Linked DNA regions of Elephas maximus indicus. The protein of the gene in region 1 interacts with the protein of each later gene in a pairwise test. Links are inferred from orthologs where the notes say so. Each region holds a gene or a part of one and is shown in the gene's direction. Other genes may lie near its edges.

Region 1 (8,013 bases):
AGCTTGATCTGCCATCTCAGAGCCTCAGTCCAATAAGCAGAGACCTGAGTTGGGCATGTAGGGTCCCTGACCAAGACCCCAGGGCACCTCACCTACTAGAAGTGCCTGCCAGTTCAGCACACACCCTCTCAGCAGTAATATTTATTTGGGATTTGCAGGGAAGGGAAAAACGCAAAGTATTTCTAAGCATTCTTTGCTTGCAGAAGAGAAGGGGCCATGAAAGCCCTGGGCATCTGGCAAGAACTCCCAGAGTGGCACTGGGCTGCCCCCAAAACCTCCCATAGGCTGCTCATGAGGAGCTGATATGCCTGTGGCTGAGGGCAGCCCTGCACGTATGGTCCTCCCTAATCTCACAGCAGCCCTGAGAGCCAGGAGCTCTTAGCATCTCCCACTGAATGGCTGAGAAAGCCAAGGCTCATGATGCTAAGGGAGCAGAGCTGGCATTCACACCCAGTCTGACTCCAGACGAGCCTTGAGTGCTGAGGAGAATCCGGGCCAGATGAACATCTCAAGCTCTATGGAACTCAGGCCAGGAAGTGAGGCTGAAGCGCAGAGGCGCACAACTTGAAATGAGGCCGATCTCCAAACTAGCCTCACAGCCCTGCACAAAAACACACTCCTATCTCCCTGCAGAGAGTCAGCCCAAAGACCGCAGAACAAATGGCAATCACTCCAAAGCATCAGCCCTATTTACATCCAGGTTCCCCAGCTGAGGGGAAGCAGCCTCACAACACCAAGGAAACATGAATATTTCATGGGTAGATCCCTCCTGGCCTCCAATCTTGTTTTCAATTGTCATGAAACAATTCAGAATTTCCAACTCAGGACTAATGGGCTCCCGTCAGCCAGTCAGCCAGCGCAGGCAGGGGTAATTATTTTAAAAGCTTCCGACCAAGTTGTTCACTGTGCTGGCTCCCCAAATCATCTGTCTGCAGTAGTGGCTGTGCCCCTTCAGGCCCCGCACACCCTGTCTCCCCATACAGAAAGCAGACAGCAGGGGGGGCTGTGAAGCACTGGCCACAAGAGCCTGTGAGGATGGTAGAGACAGGCCAAGCCTACAGATGGGTAAACTAAGGCCCTCCAGAAACTCAGAGACCATAACTTCTCACTCTCATATTTCCTCTGCCAAGCTGTGGCCAACTGTGCTCATGGCGCATGGATGGACAAACAGATGGATGTAGTGGCTGAGTGAATGATGTTACAATAGCCTGCTCCCACCTCACCCCCTGGAATCCATCCTACACTCTCCAGGCTGAGTGATCTTTCTGAAATATTAATCTAACCAACCGTCTCCCTTCTTAAACCCTTCATCTACGTCTCTTCGTCTTCAGAATAATACCCCACTATACTACAATACTACAAAGCTTCATGAAGCCCCACAGTATCCGGCTCCTATTTAATTCTCCAACCTCCTCTTCCCCCATTCTCTGCCTTCTCACCTGCCCTCAATGCTATTCTGTAGCCACACTGCCCTTCTTTCAAATTCTCAGGTATACCACAATTCTCTCACCTCTGGGCCTTTGTTCGTACTGTTTTCCCAGGGAGTGGAGAGGGGCGGGGTGGAAATACTGTTCCAAACAAACTCTGTAGTATGTCATTCAAGACCCTTCAACAGCGGGCTGCAGATTTCGTCTCCAGCATTTGTGCTCCAAATATGGTTATGGGTTTGTACGTCTGCCTCCTCAGCTCAACCCACATGAGCAGAAGCCATCCATCTCTGCATCTCTGTGATCATGGGCATGAAGTGTGTGCTTTCTAAACCTTTGCTGACCTGAGAGAGGCCAGTCCAAGAGGGTCCCAGACCAGAGTTCTTCCCACTGTTCCTTACAGATGCTGACAGGTCTGCAATGAAAAAAAAAAAAAAGTACTTGAGATGCTCAAAAGGTTTCTCTTTTTGCTTTGGCTCCCAGGAGCCTCAGAGTGCACTATAATCAATGTTCAAGTACATCAACATCTTGCCTGATCCTAGGAGGTCTTCTCCACTTTCAGATTCTCCAACTCCCTCCTTCTCAAGGATGAGCAAGGGACCACAAATGGATACCCTCCCTTGCTTTGTGGGTCCATCTCTATATGGAATCAGCAGACTCTGAGCCTCCCCTCAGGCTTTCTGGTGGCACTCTCACCTCTTTGCCACAGATGAGTGCCAGAACAGTCCTGTTGGACTTCAGACTCTCCCAAGAGAACCAGTGCCTCCCCATCACATTAGGGTGGACTCTTACCCACTCCACCACCAGGCCCTTGAGAACCTTCACAGGGCAGGGGCTTCTTTGAAGACTAACACCTTCCCTGCCACAATTCTAACTCTGAGAGCTTGCTAAGGGACAGCAGCTAAGATTCTTGGGGGAATGTAGTGAGTATTCCTTTTGGTAGGGAGTAATCCTTCTAGGGTGGAGCCTGTGACCCTGGCCTGGCCAACCACACCCCTAAACCACTCTTCTCCACAAAGAGATTGGTTTAGGAGTGGGCATGTGAGCTGTACCCAGCCAATCAGCATAATCGAATCCCTTGACCATGCTAGCAAGGGTCCTGTAGTGAACAAGAGAGGCTCAGCTCTGCTCTCAAGGAGCTTACAAATGGTAAGGGCAACAGATTTTAACCAATCATTACACAAATAATTATTTCAATACTATTGCAATAAGACCCATGAAGGAAAAGGTCACTGTCATGGATGGAATTGTGTCCTCCAAAAATATCTGTCAACTTGGCTAGGTCATGATTCCCAGTATTGTATGATTGTCTACCATTTTGTCATCTGACATGATTTTCCTACGTGTTGTAAATCTTATCACTATAATGTAATGAGATGGATTAGTGGCAGTTACATTGATGAGATCTACAAGATTAGATGATGTCTTAAGCCAATCTCTTTTGAGATATAAAAGAGAGAAGCAAGCAGAGAGACATGGGGACCTCGTACCACCAGGAAAGCAGAGCCAGGAGCAGAGCATATCCTTTGGACCCAGGGTCCCTGCACTGAGAAGCTCCTCGACCAGGGAAAGACTGATGACAAGGACCTTCCTCCAGAGCCGACAGAGAGACAAGGCCTTCCCCTGGAGCTGACACCCTGAATTTGGAGTTGTAGCCTGCTCAATTGTGAGAGAATAAATTTCTCTTTGTTAAAGCCATCCACTTGTGGTATTTCTGTTATGGCAGCATTAGATAACTAAGACAGACACTCTCCCTACTTTTACTGGATATTAAGAAACACTGCAAAACTGTGACTGAAGCCATTTGCCCATTATGCTATTCAGATGTGACAAATCCAACTTGGAGTTTTGTACTATGGAGAAAAACTTCTTCTGACTAAAGGAAGCATGCCATTTTGGAAGAAGAGACAAAACAACTGTGTCAACCAATCTTGTTGCACTTTTCACTTAGGTACTAGGAAGCTCAAAGCTAAAGTGACACTTAGATACAGGGACTGTGTTACTTCTGTTCCTAGTGGACCCTGCCCCGCTCTTCCTCTCTTTGATTTCCAATCCATCTGCCTTGACAGTGGAAATATATGTGCCTCAAGATGTCAAAAGCTAAAGGGAAATTGTGGAAAATTCTTTTTGGAAGAGGGGAAAATGAAATCATACAAAGCCTGTTTTGACCTTCCAAGAACTTCCAGGTTGTCAGGCTCTGGCCCCACCCAGTCTGCCCAGCCTGGAGGGAATAAGGAGCAGCTCTGCTAAATCAGAGAGGTGTTCTGCTCCTGCCTGACTCAACCAATGTGACCATGCTGGGGAAAACCCAACAAACCCACTGCCATCGAGACCCTATAGGACAGAGTGGAACTGCCCCCATAGGGTTTCCAAGGCTATAAATCTTTATGGAAGCAGACAGCCACATCTTTCTCCCATGGGTTCATACTGCTGACCTTTCCGTTAGCAGCCAAAGGCTTTAACCACTGGCTACCAGGGCTCGTCACTGGTGAAAGAGGGAAACAAAAATTAGAGCAAACTTTTAAAGAACAAAGTGACCTGACGGGTGTTACCTTTAGCATTCAACTCCACAAAACATAGTGCTAAGCCCTTCACTTGCTTTGTCTCATCGATTCCTCAACTGCCTTGTAAAGTCGATACTCTTACTCTCCTGTTTCACAGACAGATAAGTTGAGGCTGGAAGAGGTTATGTGACTTGCCCAAAGCCAAACAGCTAGTATAAGGCACAGACAAGACTCCAGCACAGGCCATTAGCAGTGTCTTGGTGCCACAGGCCCTAGCTGAGAACAAGAACATAGCAGAGAATGATGACACCACCACCCCGTCACCCACTGGGAACAAAACCCCTGAAAATCGCTGGTGTACAGGGGTGGAAGGGTGAGACACCTAAATGAAACCACCCCAGCCAGGTGCCTGTCTCTCGGCCTTCACAATAAGGGTCCTGCGGTTGCATTTATGCCCAAAGGTGTCTGGGCGCTTGGGGTGGGGGGTAAGGCTGCCAGGGACAAGGCCCACAGGGCCAGGCCTGCCAACAGGCCATTTTCACACATAAAACGCACAACTAGCGGTGGGGAGAGAGGCGTGGGATTGCAATCCCGGGCAGCGCAAGGTCCAAGCCACAAGATTGCGTTTCCCCAAGTAGGCCTCTAGGTCCAGGTCTGAAAGCGCCGGCGTCCAAGGCGCGTCTTTTAGCCCTTATGACCCCGTGCGCACTGATCCCCACACACCCCTGGAGAAGGGTTCCGGCTTTTAAGGATTGAGAGGAGGTCGCGGAGTCCCGGAAAAGCAGGACAGGGTGCAAGGGCCACCCCGCAGGGCCTGAATGCCCTGGCCTCTGGGAGCTTGCGTCGGGCTGGCTTCCGGCCTTGAGGGTAGGGCGGGGGTCTCGGCTCTGCGCTTTCCGAGGCTAGGCGGCCCTGGAGGCGCGGCGGAGCAGGGCGCCAGGTCGGGCGTCGGGGCTGCAGCCTCACCAGCACCAGCTGTCAGCGAGAACCAGGGAGGGAGGCGCCGCCGATGATGGCATCTCGTGCAACATTGACGCCGGCCGCCGCGCTGCCATCTCCCGGCACCTAGCGCCGAAGCGGCCATCCCAGAGCCCTGGGGTGTCGGCGGGCAGGCTCGGCCGCTCTTGTCCCGCAGTCTGGGCCTGGATAAACAGTCACAGCCGAACTCGTCCCATCCCACCATTCCAGAAGCCGGAGGCTCAGACTGAGAGCTTGGGGAAAGCCGGAGCAGGTTCTGCCAATGGGTCTCCCCCTTGAGGTTTCACTTGCGGGGTTATCTGGCCACTAGGCAACGCTGGGGAATCCGGAGGCCTACGGGTGAGAGAGGGGCAGGCCCCCAGGTCCCCTCAGTCCTTCCAGTCTCCCAATGGCTGCCAGCCAGGAACCGACCTGAGGGACCACATGGGCAGAGGCCTCCCACGTGCGCCGTCCGGGAGAAAGGCGGCCGCTGGAGGGTGTGCAAGGGAAGGGACCAGACAAGGAGTCGCAGAGGCGTCTGTCCTCGTGAGGTTGGCCTCCCCTTTATTCCCCAGACGAGTCTCTGAAGAGGGAGAAGGGGAAATTCCCCAAGCAGGGCCGGTCGGGCGATTGCCCCTCCCGAGCACCCCCTTACATAGAGAAACCTTGGGGTCTGACCTCAAACCTCCGTGGCTGCCAAAATCTGCACAGCTGATTCTCTCTGCCAACATGCAAACCCGGCTCCCTCCCGCAGGCTGAGCAGGAAAAGGAAAGGATTGACTCTCATAACCCCAGCTTGACCATCACCTGGCAGGCCCCCGGGAAACTCCGATCAGACCCGGACTAAACGGAAGCCGGCCCGTCCCCTAACGTGCCAGGTGGGTAACTGAGCCCAGCAAGAGTAAAGTGTCTGGGCTAGGGTGGGACCCCAGCAGCTTCAACCGCAGACGGCTGGAGCCCCTCCCACGCACCAGCCGTCCCGGGGCGCGCTTCCCGGCCTAGGGCCTCTGCGGAGAGCCGTGAGACCCCAGCCTGCTTCCCGAGGGAGGACAGGGCCCCTAGCCCGCTGGACTGCGCGCCGCCCCCTCCCCGCTTGCCTAGGCTAGCGCCTTGCTTCCCCTCCCCCCCTTCCCGCCTCCCCGGCCGGTGTCCCCGCCTTCCCCGCGGGCGACGGGCGGCGGCAGCCGCCGCGGCAGGAGGAGCGGGCCGAGCCGAGGCAGCCCGGACCTTACGCGCTGGGATGTAGCGACCCGGCGGGGGCCGAAGCAGCGCGCAGAGTCGGAGACTGAATTGGATCCGGGGCCCCAGCCGGAGCCGAAATCTAAATCTGAGTCGGCGGCAGGCGAGCCCGGAGCCGACGAGCCGCAGACGCAGCGCAGCCCAGGTAGGGTTAGAAACGCTGGGCTAGGGGACGCCGACGCTCCGCGGTGGAGGAGCGCAGGGAAGTGGCGGCCGAGTCCCGCGCTGTTTGCTCCGTGCGGTCCAGCCGGTGGGGCAGGACCGAGCGCAATGCGCGGAAGGCCAGGCGCCATCGGGGCAGAGCGAGGAGTTCATTCCTGAGTGGTGCGCACGGTCACAGCTGCCATCTCCGGGCGCTACCTCACCTAACTGGTGGGCCCACCCCGCGCTTCGGCCCCAGGCACCCCAAGAAGGCAGCAGCCTTGGGGGCGCAGGCCAAGGACACCCTGGACGCCCCGCGCAACTTCTAGCGGTGGCCAGGGCGCAAGGGGTCCCCAGGGAGAAAGGGACAGGCGAGAGGGCTGTCCGCTGTTCCCCGATATGCCCTGGGTTGAGGGCCCCCAGCACAGGCGGATGCGCAGGCCCCTCTCCATGGCCCGGGACTTCGGCCGTAGCTTCGCGTCAAGAGGGTATTTGTCCTAAACGAAACCGCTTCGCTCGTTTGTTCGTTCGAGCAGCAATATGGCAGAAAAGCAGCAGACATCGGCCGGAGCCCCGGAGCCTCGGGTCCCTTCGATCGCCAACCCCGACGTCCGCCGCAGCGCTGGGAGGCACCCCCAGCCCAGGGCGGCCTGCCCCGCGCGCAGAGCTGCCCTCTCCCATACGGGTTGGGCCTCACCTTCCCCTTACAGAAACCCTAAATGCTTTTAGTAAAGTCCAATAAAGACATTCCCACGGCTTCTCCCGGTTCTGGTTGCTGACGGAGGATTCCCCAGCACACAGCTTCTTCTCTAGAGCCGGGTCTAGGGATTCTGAAACTGAACAGCCACGAAAGTTGGAGCCGATTCTACTGTGGCAAAGCAAGGGCTCTGAAGCCAGGTAGCAAAAATGGGAACCCCGGTCTGGAATCATGGTTCAAAGGTTTTCTGATTTGGGAATTCCCTGAATCTAAAAATATTAAATCCACTTCTCTGAAAAACTAAGGCCCCGGTATGCTGGATTTGTGGTTGCCTCCGACAGCCACCAAGGCCAGAGCAGGAAACCCCAGGTTGCTGTCCACTTGGCCGAGGATGCAGGTCTAGGGTAATGAAGAAGTCTAGGGTAATGACAAAGGCTGTGGGCACCAGGGCAGCATAGGAGAGGGACTTGCTGTCCTCCTGCCCTTCCCCAAGACATTTTGGGACTCTCCACCTCTGCCAAAGAAAGGAAAAGTGGTGAGCTGGGGCACCGATCTGTGGCTGCTTCAACTCTAGGTGGTAGAGGCTCTATTTGTTGACCTCCGAGCCAGACTCAGAGCGCCCTTCTCCCAGAAAAGCAGCTGCTGGAAAAAGGAGGCTGTGGTGCAGCAAAACCTGACCCTCTACTCCCCAGTTATGTGGCCAGCCATGGCCACTTTCCTAGCCCTCTCTTTCGCTCAGCCACCCAACGTTTTTTGCTGGGCTCAGGAGAGCCAGGGGCCCTACCAGCCGCTGCCCTGACCGAGCAGGCTGAGCAGTCCACAGCACAGAGACCAGTTCCTCACTCCCGCTGGCGTGCCACTAGCACCGTCCAGCCGAGTGCATCCCACAGCTCCCCAACAGGACACGCTGGGGATCCCGGAATGGTAGGAATCCTTGGGCTGGGGTCCTGGGAGGCCTAAAAGACCCAGCGAGATCGTTCCCAGCCCCTGCCTGAGCACCCTCACCCAATAATTGCTTGCGTTCAAAGAAACAAGAGCTTTTATTGGG
Region 2 (7,499 bases), on another chromosome or scaffold:
GTGAATGAAAGGCTCCAGAAAAAATGGAACTGGGGGATTACCTAATAGATGCGAATGAGTGAATGAAATGTGTATCCAGAAGCTATTGAATTTTGGTGGGAAGAATTAACAATAGGTTGTTAGTGACCATCAGATTATGACTCATGGTGACCCCACGTGGTACAGAGTAGAACTGTTTCATAGGGTTTTCTTGGCTGTTATCAGAAATAGATCACCAGGCCCATCTTCTGCAGTAGCCCTGGATGGGTTCAGAACACCAACTTTTAGGTTAGAAGTTGAGTACAAACTATTTGTGCCACCTGGAGACTATTAAAGTATATAAAAAGCAAAAACAAAAAAAAAAAGACAAAGCATTGTTGTGGAGTCGATTCAGACTCATAGCGACCCTAGAGGACAGAATAGAGCTGTCACGTAGGGTTTCCAAGGAGCAGCTGGTGTATTTGAACTGCCGGCTTTTTGGTTAGCAGCTCAGCTCTTAAAAGCAAATGAAAAAGCAAGGCTGTCTTAGTCATTTAGTGCTGCCATAACAGAAATACCACAGGTGGATGGCTTTAACAAAGAGAAGTTTATTTTCTCACAGTGAAGTAGGCTAAAAGCCCAAATTCAGGGTGTCAACTCCAGGGGAAGGCTTTCTCTGTCAGCCTTATTGATCTTCCCCCAGACTAGGAGCTTCTCTGTGTGGAGACCCCAGGTCCAAAGGACGCGCTCTGCTCCTGGCACAGCTTTCTTGGTGGTATGAGGTTCTAACTCTGCTTGCTTCCCTTTCCTTTTTATCTCTTGTAAGATAAAAGGTGGTGCAGGCCATACCCAAGAGAACTCCCTGTACGCCTGGGTAAGGGTGTTACAATCTCACCCTAATCCTGTTTGACATAAAGGTATAATCACAAAATGGAGGACAACCACACAATGCTGGAAATCATGACGCAGCCAAATTGATACACTTTTTGGGGAACATAATTCAGTCCATAACAAAAGCAATGATTAATGCCAGGAAAACCAAAAAGTAATAAAGGGAAGGAAGCAATCCTTGAACACACATGGCTTTGCAGTGAACATTTATTCATTCATAGCCAAAATAATCTCCCTGATGTTGTGTGCCGTCAAATGGATTCCAATTCATAGCAATGCTATAGGACAGAGTAGAACTTCCCCATAGGATTTCCAAGGCTGTAAATCTTTATGGAAGCAGACTGCCACATCTTTTCTCCTGCAGAGAGGCTGGTGAGTGAACTGCCAGCCTTTTGGGTAGCAGCCCAGTGCTTAACCACTGTACCACCAGGGCTCCATATAATGTCACTACTAAGTACTGGTTCTTTAGACATATTGTCAGGAGAGACCAGCCCCTGGAGAAGGACGTCATGCTTGGTCAAGTAGAGGGCCAGTGAAAAAGAGGAAGACCCTCAACGAGATGGATTGACACAGTGGCTGCAACAATGGGCTCAAGCATAACGATCTTGAGGGTGGCGCAGGACCAGGCAATGTTTCATTCTGTTGTACCTAGGGTCGCTATGAGTTAGGACCAATTCAACGGCACCTAACAACAAGTACTAGAACCAACAAAGTGTGATTTCACTATATTAAGAGGATGGGGGAGGTGGAAGAAAGAAAGAAATAATTTGGAAATCCATAGGCAACGTAGAGAATACATAAATCAAGAACTAGTGAGCTTAAAAAATAGTGACTATTCTGGAGATCACTTTAATAGTGACTATTCTGGGGGGTCGGAGCCCTGGTGGTTCAGTGGTTAACTGCTAACCAAAAGGTCAGCAGTTCAAATCCACCAGCTGCTCCTTGGAAACCCTATGGGGCAGTTCTACTCTGTCCTGTAGGGTCGCTGTGAGTTGGAATCGACTCAACGGCAATGGGTTTGGCTTTTTTGGTTTGTTCCAGGGGTGGGAAGAGGAATGAGACAGGGAGTCTTTTAATTGTTGTTAAAAGCTTCCCGCATACTATTTGCGTATACACACACAGTACCTTGATAAATATTTAAAATTAAACTAAAAGAAGTAAAGGGAAAGGTACAAACTGGAAATACCAGGTGTGCACAGAGTCTAGCAAGAAGGTTGATTTGGAGTTAAAAATTTGGCCAGGATATTAAAAAATTGCTGTCAAGTCGATTCGGGCTCATAGCATCCACAGAGGACAGAGTAGAACTGCCCCATAGGGTTCCCAAGGAGCCGCTGGTGGATTTGAACTGCCAACCTTTTGGTTAGCAGCTGAGCTGTTAACCACTGAGCTACCAGGGCCAGGATATAGTGAGACAAAAGGTTATAAAAGCAGAAGTGAGATTATGGAGAGCCTTGAACATCCTGCTAAGTATATTTGGGAGGCATTGGGGAATGTGGGAAGGTTTCTTAGAACAAAGTCCCTGGGCGGTGCAAACAGTTCGTGCTTGTGTACTAACCAACAGGTTGGCAGTTGCTTACCCAGCAGCCCTGCAGAAGAATGATTACAGCCAAGAAAGCCCTGTGGAACAGTTTTACTTGGTAACACATGAGTCGCCATGAGTTGGATTGACTAGATGGCAATAGGTTTGGTTTGCTTCTCTCAGAAGAGGTGTCTAAAAGAGATACTCTTCAAATGCAGAGGGGCAACAGTACACAAATGGAGTGAGAAGAGTCCGCACTTGTTACAAGAAAAAAAAACAAAGGCATTGCCCACAGCTGATTCCAACTTACAGCAATCCTATAGGACAGAGTAGAACTGCCCCTAGAGTTTCCAAGGAGTGCCTGGTGGATTCAAACTTCAGACCTTTTGGTTAGACACCATAGCACTTAACCACTACACCACCAGGATTTCCCCACGCTTGTTACTGTGGCCTAAAAGGCCCTATGTGATCTGGCCCTTTCCTACCTTTTCAGCCTCATCGTACCACTGTCCATCTAGTCACGATAGCTGTCCTCCTATTCTTCAAATTTGGAAGTACAATCAGAATGCTCCTTAGAAGTGAGGATGGCAAGATAGTTGCTTACTTTGGATATGTTATCAGAAGTGACCAATCCCTGGAGGACATCATGCTTGGTAAAGGAGAGGGTCATCAAGAGAGGAAGACTCTCAGTGAGATAGATTGGCACAGACCTGCAACAGTGGGCTCAAGCGTAACAACGATTGTGAGGACGGGGCAGTGTTTCATTCTGTCATATATAGGGTCGCTATGAGTCGGAACGCACTCGACAGCACCTGACAACATTCCTGCTTTGAGTCTTTATACTCACTCTGCCCTCTGCCTGGAATACCCTTCCCTTAAATCTTCTCGTATCTGGTTCCTCCTCATCAGTTAGGTCTTAGTTCAAATGGAAGATGTCTTCCTTGACAAACTCATCTTTCCTCTGTCTCTATCACATTACTCCATTTTATCTTCTTAGTAGAGTTTATCACTCTCTGGCTTATTTGGAAACCCTGGTGGTGCAGTGGTTAGGCTACAGCTGCTAACCAAAAGGCCAGCAGTTCGAATCCAGCAGGCGCTCCTTGAAAACTCTATGGGGCAGTTCTTCTCTGTCCTTCAGGGTTGCTATGAGTTGGAATCGATTCAACGGCAGTCAGTCTGTTTTTTTGTTTTTTGAAGTTTATCTATTTACAAGCCTATGTGCCTCCTAGATGAGTGAAGGTTTTGAGGGCAGCCTTACCTGTCTTTCTACTTCTATATCTCAGGCATGGCACCATGCCTAGCACATAGTAGGTACTCAGTATTTATTAAATTAATTAAAAACTAAGGAGTGAGGAAATCTGTCAGGGCACCATCATACCTAGTTCTAGGAGTCCTTGGGTGGTGCAAACGATTAAGCACTGGACTGCTAGCCAAATGGTTGCCGGTTTGAACTCACCCAGAGGCACCTGGGAAGACAGGTCTGGTGATCTGCTTCCAAAAGGTCACAGCCTTGAAAACCCTATGGAGCACAGATCTACTGTGACACACATGGGGTTGCCATGAGTCAGAACTGACTCTGCGGCAGGGAACAACATACCAAGTTCTAGTTTGAGACTCCCTGTCCCAGACAGGCACGCATACCTTCACTTGCCTTTCAGCCCATTTAGTGAACCATTGCTATGCACCTGACCCTGGCTGGGCTCTGGGGCTGTAAGGCGGATTCAGAGCTCGACCCTGCCCTGCCCTCAAGGAGTCCTGTTTGGTGGGCTCTTTTTTTTTTTTTTATGACCGCAGCTGTACTTCTCACCCTAAAGTGCCATACCGAGGTCCCTTGCTTCCAGCGATCCGTGCTTAGAACCACTTCCCACTCTCCCCAAATCTGGGGACCGAAGAGACCCTGCTTCCCTTCCTCCCCGCCTGCAGAGGAGGTCTTCGGTCCAGGGCCAGGGCCTCGGAGGGCCCAGGAGTGCGGCCGTCCTGGTCAGGGCTCCCCTCCAGGTCTGGGCCCCAGGCACCGCGCCTGCTCCCCGCCGAGCGGGGGCCGGAGCCGTGCGCGCCAGGGCCCGGCTTTGCGCGCATCCAGCGCTCGGCGGCCCGCGGGGCGGGGCGCGGCCCGACCCGAGGCCGCGGCACCGGAAGAGTCGCGCCGCCAGGCGGGCCGGAGCGCGGAGCGGAAGCTTGGCGGGCGGCGCTGGGACCCGGGGGAGGCCGCAGAACAAGGAGCTGGGCTGAGCCGCGCCGACTGCCCCGAGGCCCGGCCCGGCGCCCGGGAGGCCGGAGCCATGGGCGAGACCAAGATCATCTACCACCTGGATGGGCAGGAGACGCCGTACCTGGTGAAGCTGCCGCTGCCCGCCGAGCGCGTCACCCTGGCCGACTTCAAGGGCGTGCTGCAGCGACCCAGCTACAAGTTCTTCTTCAAGTCGATGGACGACGATTTCGGGTGAGGGGCCCCCGCCCGCACCGCGGACCCCGCCGCCTGCTTTGGGGGCCACCCGGCCCGCTCGAGCCCCCCCGGCTGTCTGGGGGAGCTGGGGTTCCAGCCCCGCGAGGGACCGCCCGCTCGCCTCTGGTGGGGGACCTTGGCCCCTTGGGGCACCCAGCTTAGGGGAACGTCCAACTCCCCAAAAGCATTCGGCTCCTGGCCCGCCAGCCCCTCACCAACTCGATGGCCCACGTAGACGACACACAACCCCTCCCCCCAGGTCCGGCCCTCCCCCGCCAGGGGAGCCACCTCTTCAGCGCAGACTTGGGGTGTCTGGCACCCAGCCTAGCGCTTCTCCATCTTTTCAGCTGCACGACTCAGGGCCATATTTGGAGCACCCCGCATCTCGGGGCTACGCCGGGGGGACTGCGGACTGGGGGGAGGGAGGTGGCCGGGTGCTGGGGCCCTGCAGACCTTGTGTTTGTTTAGCTGTCGCCCCCTCCCTTGTGGTGTGTCTAGGATGTTGTCAAGGGAGCGAGGCGAACGCCTGGCCCCTGAGGAGGAGTCCAAAATATCCCAGGTGCTTGCTCCCCTCAGTATTGAGGCCTTTTCCTCCAGGTGGTGGCCAAGGGGGAGGCCTTGGAAAGGGCCTCAGAGCCTGAGAGCCAGGAAGAGCCTCTTGGTGTTCTCCATTTTCCCCTCGCTGGCGGGGTCTTCCCCTCCACCCAGCTGCAAGGCTGTGGACAGGCAGAGTTTGGAAGCTGCCACTTCCCCTTTAAGAAGGGATGGAATGTTGGAGCCGGAAGGTTCTGTAGCAGCTGGCCTGGGAAGGGGAGCCTAGCCCATCTCCTCACCGCCCCCCCAGCCCCCCCCAACTCCCAATTCCCGGGGGACTGGAGGAGGGGAAGGCCCCCACACCAGCCTGCATCCAGGAGCTGGGTGCTGGCCTAGAGGCCCCTGGGGAGGCCTCACAGGGTCCTTGAGGCCTGCAGCCATCTCTCCAGCCTCTGCCTGGGGCCTGCACTGCCCTTTGGGGCAGAGTGAGGAGAGACAGTCTTCTCCCATGTGTCCATCAGTCTGGCCGCTCTCCCAGGACCCTGGCCCTCCTGGGTCAAGAAGCAAGCACCTTCTGTCTTCTCCTTGGCATGCTTGGCTGTCGCTTTCCACCCTGGGACTCTGGGTTTGAGGAGCCTGTGAGATGTGTGTGTGTGATCATGTATGTGAGATTTTGTGATCATATGTATAATCCTGTGTGTGTGTGTGAGAGAGAGAGAGAGTGCTTGGTACAGTGGGAAGTGCTTTGTGGAGTCCAACTATCCTGTTGTCTGTTGTCTTTGCTCCTACCCTGGGGCAGGGTACTCCTGGTGCCATGATGATTATCTGGTTTCAGCCCAGAGACAGACACCTCTGATTGGAAGATTCTGAACAGGGATCGATCTGGAAGGGGCAGGGGCAAGGGGGCGGGCGGCCTGACCTAGTTGGAGAAGAATAGGGTCAGAGAACACCAAGATACTTCCTGGGAATATAAGATGTGGAAAAACAGTTACAGTCCAGTGGGCTGGGGCCACCCTGGGGCCAGGTGCACTGAGGGGCTAGGATAGACTTGTGTTCCCACCCCGCACTCACCCCTGGGCCCACTCGGCCTAGCCCCATCTCCTAAGCCTAGACCTCTCTGGGCTGCCTCCTGGCCGGGCCTAACTGCAGTCATAGAAGGATCCTCATTACATCCACTTAACCAAAACCTGTTGCTGTCAAGTCAATTCCGACTCATAGCGACCCTATATTTACTGTTTACTGAATGTTTTCCTTTAACTCCACTGTCAGTCAGCTGCTTTTTTTCTTAGCTTGACCTAACCAGTAATATGAAATCATGGGTCTGACTTTCTATTTATTTTTTTCTAAAATATGTTCAAATAAATACATGTAACTATTAAACTAAGCAACATTCATTCAGGTACCATTTAAAGCCATCTTGCTTACATTAGTGGTACTGACACCACTCTTTTCAAGATATCAGAATAGGTCACTTTAGCAGAGCTGAGAACAATGCTACAAAGGAAGCGGAGGAGACTGATTTCGCTCTTACCCCGCTCCTCCCCAGGAGGCTAAGTGAGCAGAAGGCATGGTAGCGCTCACTTGTCACAGAGGACTCCAGCGTGCCAGACACTGATGTCAATGCTTTTTGAACCTTCACTGAGATCCCACTTTACAGACAAGGAAACTAGGGCACAGAAAGATTAACTTGTCCAGGGTCACACCGCTAGTACATGGCAGCAGAGCTTGATTTGATGTTAGGGATCTGGCTCCAAAGTCTGTAGCCTTAACTGCACAACTGTAGGTATTATTGTTGTTGTTAGGTGCTGTCAAGTCGGTTCCGACTCATAGCAACCCCTATGCACAGCAGAGCGAAACAGTGCCTGGTCCCGCGCCATCCTCACAGTCATTGCTATGCTTGAACCCATTGTTGCAGCCACTGTGTTGATCCATCTCGTTGAGGGTCTTCCTCTTTTTCACTGACCCTCTACTTTACCAAGCATGATGTCTTCCTCCAGGGACTGACCCCTCCTGATAACATGCCCAAAGTATGTGAGACGTATCCTTACCATACTTGCTTCTAAGGAGCATTCTGGTTGTACTTCTTCCACGTAGGTGTTACTACTACCCGCATTTTATAGACGCTTTCTCTCCAAGGGAGATGTTAAGGCC
Region 3 (7,916 bases), on another chromosome or scaffold:
TTGAAAGATTTTAAGTGGTGGGAGTAATATGATTGATTAGAAATGTGTTTTAGATGGATCACTCTGGCTGTTGTGCCTAGTATGGAGTGGAAGGGCCAAGACAGGCGGCAAGAGAGGCCAGTTAGAGCTTTTGCAATAATTCAGGCAAGACATGCTGGTGTCTTGATCTAGGATAGAGCAGTATGGAAGGACAGGCAAGAGGTGAGGCACAGTAAGCAGGACCTGTGACCAGCTGGTGGTAGGGGCTTGAGGAAAGGGAGGGTTTCCAGGTGTCTGGCTTGGTGACTGGCGAAGAACACAGGGGAAGTAGTATCTTTAGCATGTGATTGAGATAACGTGTAAGAAGGTCCTGAGTTCAGTTTTATACATGTTCAAGAAGGCAGGGAGGCAAGGAGGCAGCTGGATGTAAGAGTCTGGAACTCAGGACAGTCTGGTTTAGAGAGATCTGAAAGGCACAGCTCGAAGCCCAGGAGTGGTGAGATATGGAGGAATAGGAAGAGAACCACAGGCTAAGGCCCTGAAGAATCAACATTTAAGGGCTAGGAAGAGAAAGGGGGACAAGTCCCTGAAGGAAACCACAAAAGAGTGGTCAAAAAACAAACAATATATATATATATATCAAAATTAAATGCATCCAAGAATATAAGAAACTCTCAGGTCAAAAAATAAGTGAAAACAGGACACTAGAAAGATAAGCAAAGCTCTGAAGCTGGCTTTCACCTTGAGGACATTTTCTTTACCCAGGAAGGCTCCCTGAGTTTATGGGAAAGAAGACAAAAGTCCAGAGTTCACTCACAGTGGAAGTCTATTCAGAAGCTTCTCCATAAAGCCAGGACTCCAAAGGGCCATGCCCACAGTTTAAGGGTGAATTAGAAATAAAGCTGTCCGTCTCCTACCTACCCTCCCCTGCAAAACCTGGGAACTACAAAGAAAACTGCCTGCATCTGACCTTGGTGCTAAGTAGAATGGGAAAAAAGCCTCCCCTAAGAACTTGCATCTACAAGCAGGCTCCCATCAGGTTTTGCAGTCCAAATTCACACTATTTTGGTAGAGTGAAAAACTTCAGACTGAGAACTTAGTTTGACATGGACATGGACATGGATTGGTGGTGGCACCAGGTGCCCAACAGAGGCTCTGTCTCCTTGGGATGCTCTTTCCTGAATCTGCGGGCCCTTCCCAGACTGTCATAGGCTCTAACACCTATACATTCTACTCATACCTTCTACAACTGGCTCTAAGCTATCCTGCACTGTCATCTCCTAAAGGCCCCCCTTGAATAGAGATTCCCAAGAAATGGCCCTTCCTGGGGCCTACTTGGAGCCCTGGTGGCACAGTGGTTAAGAGCTTGGCTGCTAACCAAAAGGCTAGCAGTTCGAATCTACCAGCCACTCCTCGGAAACCCTATGGGACAGTTCTACTCTGTCCTGTAGGGTCGCTATGAGTTAGAATTGACTTGATGGCAAGGGGTTTGGTTTTTTTTTTTGTTTTTTTTTTTTGTAGGGGCCTGCTGTGGAGCCCGGGTGGTGAAGTGGTTAAGCACTTGGCTGCTAACCAAAAGGTTGGTGGCTCAAACCCACCAGTTGCTCCTTGGGAGAAAAATGTGGCAATCTGCTCCCATAAAGATTACATACTTGGAAACCCTATGGAGCAGTTCTACTCTGCCCTATAGGGTCACTATGAGTCAGAATAGACTTGGTGGCAACAGATTTTTTTTGGTTGCACAATGGTGAAGTGCTCAGATGCTAACTGAAAGGTCCTCGATCCTAACCCACCAGCTGTTCCAAGGGCGAAAAGACCTGGTGATCTGTTCCTGTAAAGATATCAGCCTAGGAAATCCTATGGGGCGCTTCTACTCTACCTTACACAGTTCATGAGTCGAAATTGACTTGAGGGCACACAACAATAGGGCCTACTTTAGTCCATCTGCCTTAGGTGGTATTTGTGAAGCATGTTCAGGAACCACTTTGGTGATGCTTAGCTTCTTTATCTGCTGGGGGACTTCCGGGGTGAGAGGAAGGAGCCCTGGACTGGAAGTAGGAAGAAAACTCCTATTAACCAAGTTGTGGCCTCTGGACCAAGCCCTACTCGTCAATCACCTCAATTTGTCCTTTACTGGAAGTAGGATGCCACAACGGGTTTTGTTTTGTTTTGTTTTTTGGAGGAATTACTATGCTTTTTTTTTTTAATAGGAAAGTGAGTCTCAGAAGAAGCCGAGCAGTCATAGCTAGAAAGGGGCAGGGCCAGGTGTTTAACCCAGGCCTAAGTCCAGAATCTGTGCTCTTAAACTCCCATGCTGAAAGGTAACTATCCCTTTCTTCCCTCCCCCCACTTCCAACAGTAAAAGCAGCACCAGAGCCAGAGCGTTTTACATCCTCCCCCACCCAGGCACAGGTCTGGAATCACCCACTTTATTCTGGCTTCCTGTTTCCTCCTAAGGATTCCAGGTGGCACAGTAAAGAGCTTGGCTGCTAACCAAAAGATCGATGGTGCAGTTCTACTCTGTCCTAGAGGCTCGCTAAGAGCCAGAATCAAAGCAAGAGCAATGGGTTTGGTTTACTCCTACCAAAGGTCCCCTGCCTCTACTCTTTCCTCCTTCAATTCACCCTCCATTATGCAAACAGATTTTCTAAAATGCAAATCCAATCATCACTGCTCACTTTAAAACTCATCTTGGCTTCACATTGCATTTAGGTTAAAAACTACAGAAGTCTATTGCTTCCAACTTGTCTTTTCAACCTCATCTCTGTTACTAACCTCCACCCACCTCCTCACCCCACATATATATATACCCTGAAGCAGAACACAAATTACTAGCTGTTCTTCCAATACTTTCTCGATAAAGGTTTGTTGAATGACTAGCTTCTCCCTGGACTTTGCTTACCAGCATATGGAGAGGCCCTCCTCCCCAGACTCTATTCCTCAAGCTCAGATCAAGCTTCTCCTTCTCAGGAAGACTTCATCCACCTTCTCAGGCCTTAGGACAGTACAGAGGTCCTTTCCCTTTTAATTTTTTTTTTTTTCTTGCTGGGGTAGCTGGCAGGAGTTAACTAAGGAACAAACTGGAGTGGTGAAAGGCAGTATCACAGGGACTGCTGGACTCTGGACCGGGGCAAACCAGATCTGAGGCCCCACTCTGCCACCCTAGCTATGTGTCTAGGGACAAATATGCTTAAAAAAAAAAAAAAAAGTTGCCATGGAGTCGATTCCGACTCATTGAGCCTCCATGTTTTTCAGAGTAGACCTGTGCTCCATTGGGTTTCCAACAGCTGTAATTTTTTGGAAGTAGATCACCAGGCCTTTCTTCTGAGGTGCTTAGGTGGATTCAAACCACCAACCTTTTGGTTCACTTAATCATCTGAGCCACCCAGGGACTTCCAAGATTTGCTTAACCTTCCCCAAATCCTGTTTCTTATCTGAAAATGTTGAATGAAAACACCTACCTTAGAGTTGCTGAGAGAAATGGACCTACAATATGCAAAGTACTGTTCCTAGCAGTTAAAGGTGAGCTATTCTTATTCTGGAAACCCTGGTGGCATAGTGGTTAAGTGCTAAGGCTGCTAAGCAAAGGGTCGGCAGTTGGAATCTGCCAAGCGCTCCCTGGAAACTCTATGGGGCAGTTCTACTCTGTCCTACAGGGTCACTATGAGTCGGAATCGACTCGAGGGCACTGGGTTGGTTTTTTATTCTTATTCTAATTACTCATAGAGAGAAGTTGTTTCCAAGTTGTTGTTGTTAGGTTCTGTCTCCAACTCATAGCGACCCTAAGGACAACAGAATCAAACACTGCCCAGGCCTGCCCCATCCTCACAATTGTTGCTATGTTTGAGCTCATGCTGCAGCCACTGTGTCAATCCATCTCCTAGAGGGTCTTCCTCTTTTTGCTGACGCCCTACCAAGCATGATACCCTTCTCCAGGGACTGATCCCTCTGGATAACATGCCCAAAGTATGTGAGTCAAGTCTCACCGGCCTTCCTTCTACGGAGCATTCTGGCTGTGCTTCTTCCAAGACAGATTTGTTCCTTCAGACAATGTACTACTGCTATTCAAAAAGTTTTCACTTGCCATTTTTTTTAGAATTATGTCGCCAGGCCCTTCTTCCTAGTGTGTCTTAGTCTGGAAGCTCCACTGAAATCTGTCCACCACGGGTGACCCTGCTGGTATTTTAAATACCGGTGACATAGCCTCCAGCATCACAGCAACACGCAAGCCTCCAGAGTACGACAAACTCACAGACGAGTGGTGGTGTTTCCAAAAACCGTAGGGAATTCTCCGAGCACTGTCCATGGTATGTGGATTCCTGCTAGCTGTCTGGGTGGCCAAGCGAGACATCCTTTTTTTTTTTTTTTCCTGAGGCGCGCCAAGTCCCCTCACTTCTCTGGGTGGTGCTGACGCTTGCGCCCAGAGCGGAGCAACCAGAGTGAACTGGGTTCCTCGATCCTACAGCCCCGAGCTCCCACCTCCACCCACCGGGCCCTTGAGTCACAACCTCTTCGGGATCTGCTCCGCAGCGCCACCGACTGCCTGTCCGGAAGTGCCGGCAGTCAGCGGGAGGCCTGGGGCGGACCGGGACTCAGCGGATATTGGCCCACGTGCTCCCGGCCTCCGCCGCCAGGCACCGCCCTCCGGCTCGGCGCAACACGGACTACACTTCCCAGAGTGCACAGTTGCGGGGCCTTGGCTCGGCGGGGGCCTCGGGCGGCGAGCCGCTCCGTCGCCTGCTCGGGGTCGCGCAGACTGGCGCGAGGACAGGGCCAGGGACCCGGAATGAGTTTCCGCGCAGTTCCGCTGGACCGTGCCGGGCTGTGCCGGGTCGGGGTGGGCCAAGGCAGGCGGGGGGGGGGGGCTTGTGTTGGCGGGGCCGGGGACAGGCGCTCGGGGCACCCTGCGCTTGCCAAGGTCCCCGCCCCGTCCCGGCTGGACCAGCTCGCCTGTCAGTCACTGGGGCGGAGGCAGCGGCGGTAGAGGGGCCGGAGCTGGGCGGTGAGCAGATCGTGGGCCAGGCCGAGCGGAGGGGACCTGCCACAGACCCTCAACTCCACGGACCCTTCGTCCCAAGCTCTCAAAGCTGCACCCCCGCGCTTCCTTGGACTTCTCCGTAACCCGCAAAAGGCTCTCTCCCCCGTGATCTCCCCACCCTCGTGACCTCCTCGTAGGACCCGAGAGCACCCCCAGATGAGGGTGTTGTAGGTACAGGTCAACGACCCTGTGATCCCTCACGGGCCAGGGGCTCGGTTTCCCTCACAGACCTCCCCCATGACTGCCTCTCACAGATTCTGAGGATAGAGCCGTGACCTACCATTAGGACCTCCGCCTAATAGCTCCACTCAGACGGCTGCCTTCTCCTGGGAGTCCTCCTCAGGGGGTCTCCTCATATAAGCACCCCCTTTGATCTCTGGCAAGCACCCCACCTCCAGCCGAGGTGGGAAGGCCTCCGTAGCCATGCCTGCCTTGGGTCCCCCGTCACCCTACCACTCCCTGGGTACCCAAGCTGGGGTCTAGCAGGGCGTCAGCAGCCAAGGGGCTGGGGCAGGAGAAAGGTCAGGGTCTACCTCCCTACTGGGGAGGGAGCAAAGATGGAGCGGCGGGAGGAGCAGCCAGGGGCTGCAGGGGCTGGAGCAGCATCAGCCTTGGACTTCACTGTGGAGAACGTGGAGAAGGTATGAGGGCCCTGGGGTGGGCACTCCAGTGACAGAGCAGAAGTTCTGGGAACTGACATTGAAGCCCAAGCCTAGGCCTGGGCTGGATGCCTGCTGGGATGGTGCCCCAGAGCACCTGGCTTTTGCTGTCTCTCTTGGCAGGCAGGACAGCAGTTTTGCAGTCTCCTAATGGGCTATTTTTGTCTTTCCTTAGACACGGGTCCCCTGTGGAGAGATACTGTAGGGTCTTGGGATGGTCGCTTCAGGGAGCTGATGGCTTAGACCTCCAAGGCAGGCTGGCCACGCTCCAGCTCCATGGAAACTGCATGAGCAGTGCAGTAGGAAACCAGGAACCCAGCAAATGTGCAGCTTAGTTCCCAGGAACCATACAGGCGCTAGACCATCCTGGACCCTGACTTTGTTGCACCTGGGGCTCCGAAAATAATCTGGAATTAAAACAATCTGGGTTATGTTTTTGCTCTTCCTTGGTAAGGGTGCTTTGGGAGTGGCTGTCCCCTTTACTTTGTGCTATGTCGGAGGGGCCTGGCCCTGCTGGCAGCTTCACAGGACGCTTCCCTACTCACCTCCCCACATAACCCCTTGCCATGGGCCTCCCAGGCTGCCCTCCTGCTTAGTCCACCTTTTTTGGGGTTGCTTCTCTGGTTCTTTTCTGGGTTCTGTCTCCAGGGGCTTGGAATGCAGGAATGCATGCCTCCTGGGATGAGTGGGGAAATGCCTGGGGCCACCTTGCTGGAAGCAGAGGCTGGAGATATTCAGTACTTATTCTTGAACCCTGTTGCCATGCCAAACTGTGAGAATGCATCCCTTCTGCTTCTGTTCTCTGCCTGCCTCAGCATCCCGAGGAGCCAGACAACTGGCTGGCAGGGGTATAGATAGGGCTAAGCCTACTTGGGTGGAGCCTTCTTAGGGGTCAGTGTCTTGGCCTCACTCTCCCACCCCCTAGGGCTGGGCAGTGTTGGCATGGTGGCGCAAGGTTCCATGTGCTACCGGGGAGATAAGCCACTGTTTTCTTACTGCGTGAAGTCCCAGTGGAATTGGGGCCCTGAGGATTCTGCTAGTTGAGATCTAAAGGCTAGACGTTTTCCAGGGCTGCAGCTGTGGCCAAGGCTTCTCTGGACCGACTTGGACCCTCACATGTGCTCTCTGAGAGGTGTTCTCACTCTCCCCTCCAGTATATCTCTGCTTCAGGGCTGCCTGGCAAAGTCTAAGTCCTGCTCAGATTTCATACTGCCTTTGGTGCCAGCATCTGGAGTGACTTAGGGATGATCCTGGGGGAGCTGAAGGGAGCTGTTGGAGCTGATGGGAGCAGCTGTGCCTGGGAGGGTCAGAGCCCTTGAGGCTGCGCCATGCTTTTCTCAGGCTTGGCTTTTTCCCCACGGAGCCATTCCTTCCACCTGGACCTTGCCCTTTACCTCAAGTGCCTCTCCTTTGGGGATCTCAGCCTCCTTTTTTCCTGCTTTCCTGGGTTCCCTCTTTGAACTCATACGTTTTGCTTCAAGAAGAGAGTATGGTAGAGCATGGGCAAGGTTCAGGCTCTCAAGATATCAGAGGACCCTGGGCCCAGGAAACACTGCCGAGCCCTGAGCTCTCCCTCCTGCCCAGCCCCCCAGTCAGGGAGGGGGGCAGTCTTGCAGGACCAAATCATGCCCTCTGTTCTGGGCTCTGGCACGATCCAGAGTGGCCAGCATCTGCTCAGTCCTGTGCTGTCCTGCAGGCACTGCACCAGCTCTACTATGACCCCAACATTGAGAACAAGAACCTGGCTCAGAAGTGGCTGATGCAGGCCCAGGTCTCCCCACAGGCCTGGCACTTCAGCTGGCAGCTACTGCAGCCCGACAAGGTGCCTGAGATCCAGTACTTTGGGGCCAGTGCCCTGCACATCAAAATCTCTCGCTACTGGAGTGACATCCCCACTGACCAGTACGAAAGCCTAAAGGCACAGCTCTTTACCCAGATCACCCACTTTGCCAGTGGCTCCAAGATTGTGCTGACTCGTCTCTGTGTGGCACTGGCCTCGCTGGCTCTCAGCATGATGCCTGACGCTTGGCCATGTGCTGTGGCAGATATGGTACGGCTCTTCCAGGCTGAGGACTCACCAGTGGATGGCCAGGGCCGCTGCCTGGCCCTGCTAGAGCTGCTGACAGTGCTGCCCGAGGAGTTCCAGACCAGTCGCCTGCCCCAATACCGCAAAGGGCTGGTGCGGGCCAGCCTGGCGGTGGAGTGTGGGGCTGTCTTTCCATTACTGGAGCAGCTGTTAC

The links.
Region 2: the proteins of PITX1 (region 1) and DVL3 interact in binary tests that used the Homo sapiens proteins (3 or more experiments, as listed by UniProt). The two-hybrid records come from large-scale screens. The link is inferred for Elephas maximus indicus from reciprocal best matches to the Homo sapiens genes PITX1 and DVL3.
Region 3: the proteins of PITX1 (region 1) and IPO13 interact in binary tests that used the Homo sapiens proteins (3 or more experiments, as listed by UniProt). The link is inferred for Elephas maximus indicus from reciprocal best matches to the Homo sapiens genes PITX1 and IPO13.

The regions. Positions count from the first base shown.
Region 1 is NC_064820.1:147,512,444-147,520,456, reverse strand, and holds the start of PITX1 (pituitary homeobox 1), read left to right. Parts: upstream 1-4,974; 5' UTR 4,975-5,162; intron 5,163-5,228; exon of another isoform or gene 5,229-5,439; intron 5,440-5,642; 5' UTR 5,643-5,766; intron 5,767-5,774; exon of another isoform or gene 5,775-6,134; 5' UTR 6,135-6,272; intron 6,273-8,013. UniProt on the Homo sapiens protein: Sequence-specific transcription factor that binds gene promoters and activates their transcription. May play a role in the development of anterior structures, and in particular, the brain and facies and in specifying the identity or structure of hindlimb.
Region 2 is NC_064819.1:30,911,063-30,918,561, reverse strand, and holds the start of DVL3 (segment polarity protein dishevelled homolog DVL-3), read left to right. Parts: upstream 1-4,483; 5' UTR 4,484-4,650; coding exon 4,651-4,811; intron 4,812-7,499. UniProt on the Homo sapiens protein: Involved in the signal transduction pathway mediated by multiple Wnt genes.
Region 3 is NC_064821.1:86,204,927-86,212,842, forward strand, and holds the start of IPO13 (importin-13), read left to right. Parts: upstream 1-4,897; 5' UTR 4,898-5,574; coding exon 5,575-5,658; intron 5,659-7,372; coding exon 7,373-7,916. UniProt on the Homo sapiens protein: Functions in nuclear protein import as nuclear transport receptor. Serves as receptor for nuclear localization signals (NLS) in cargo substrates.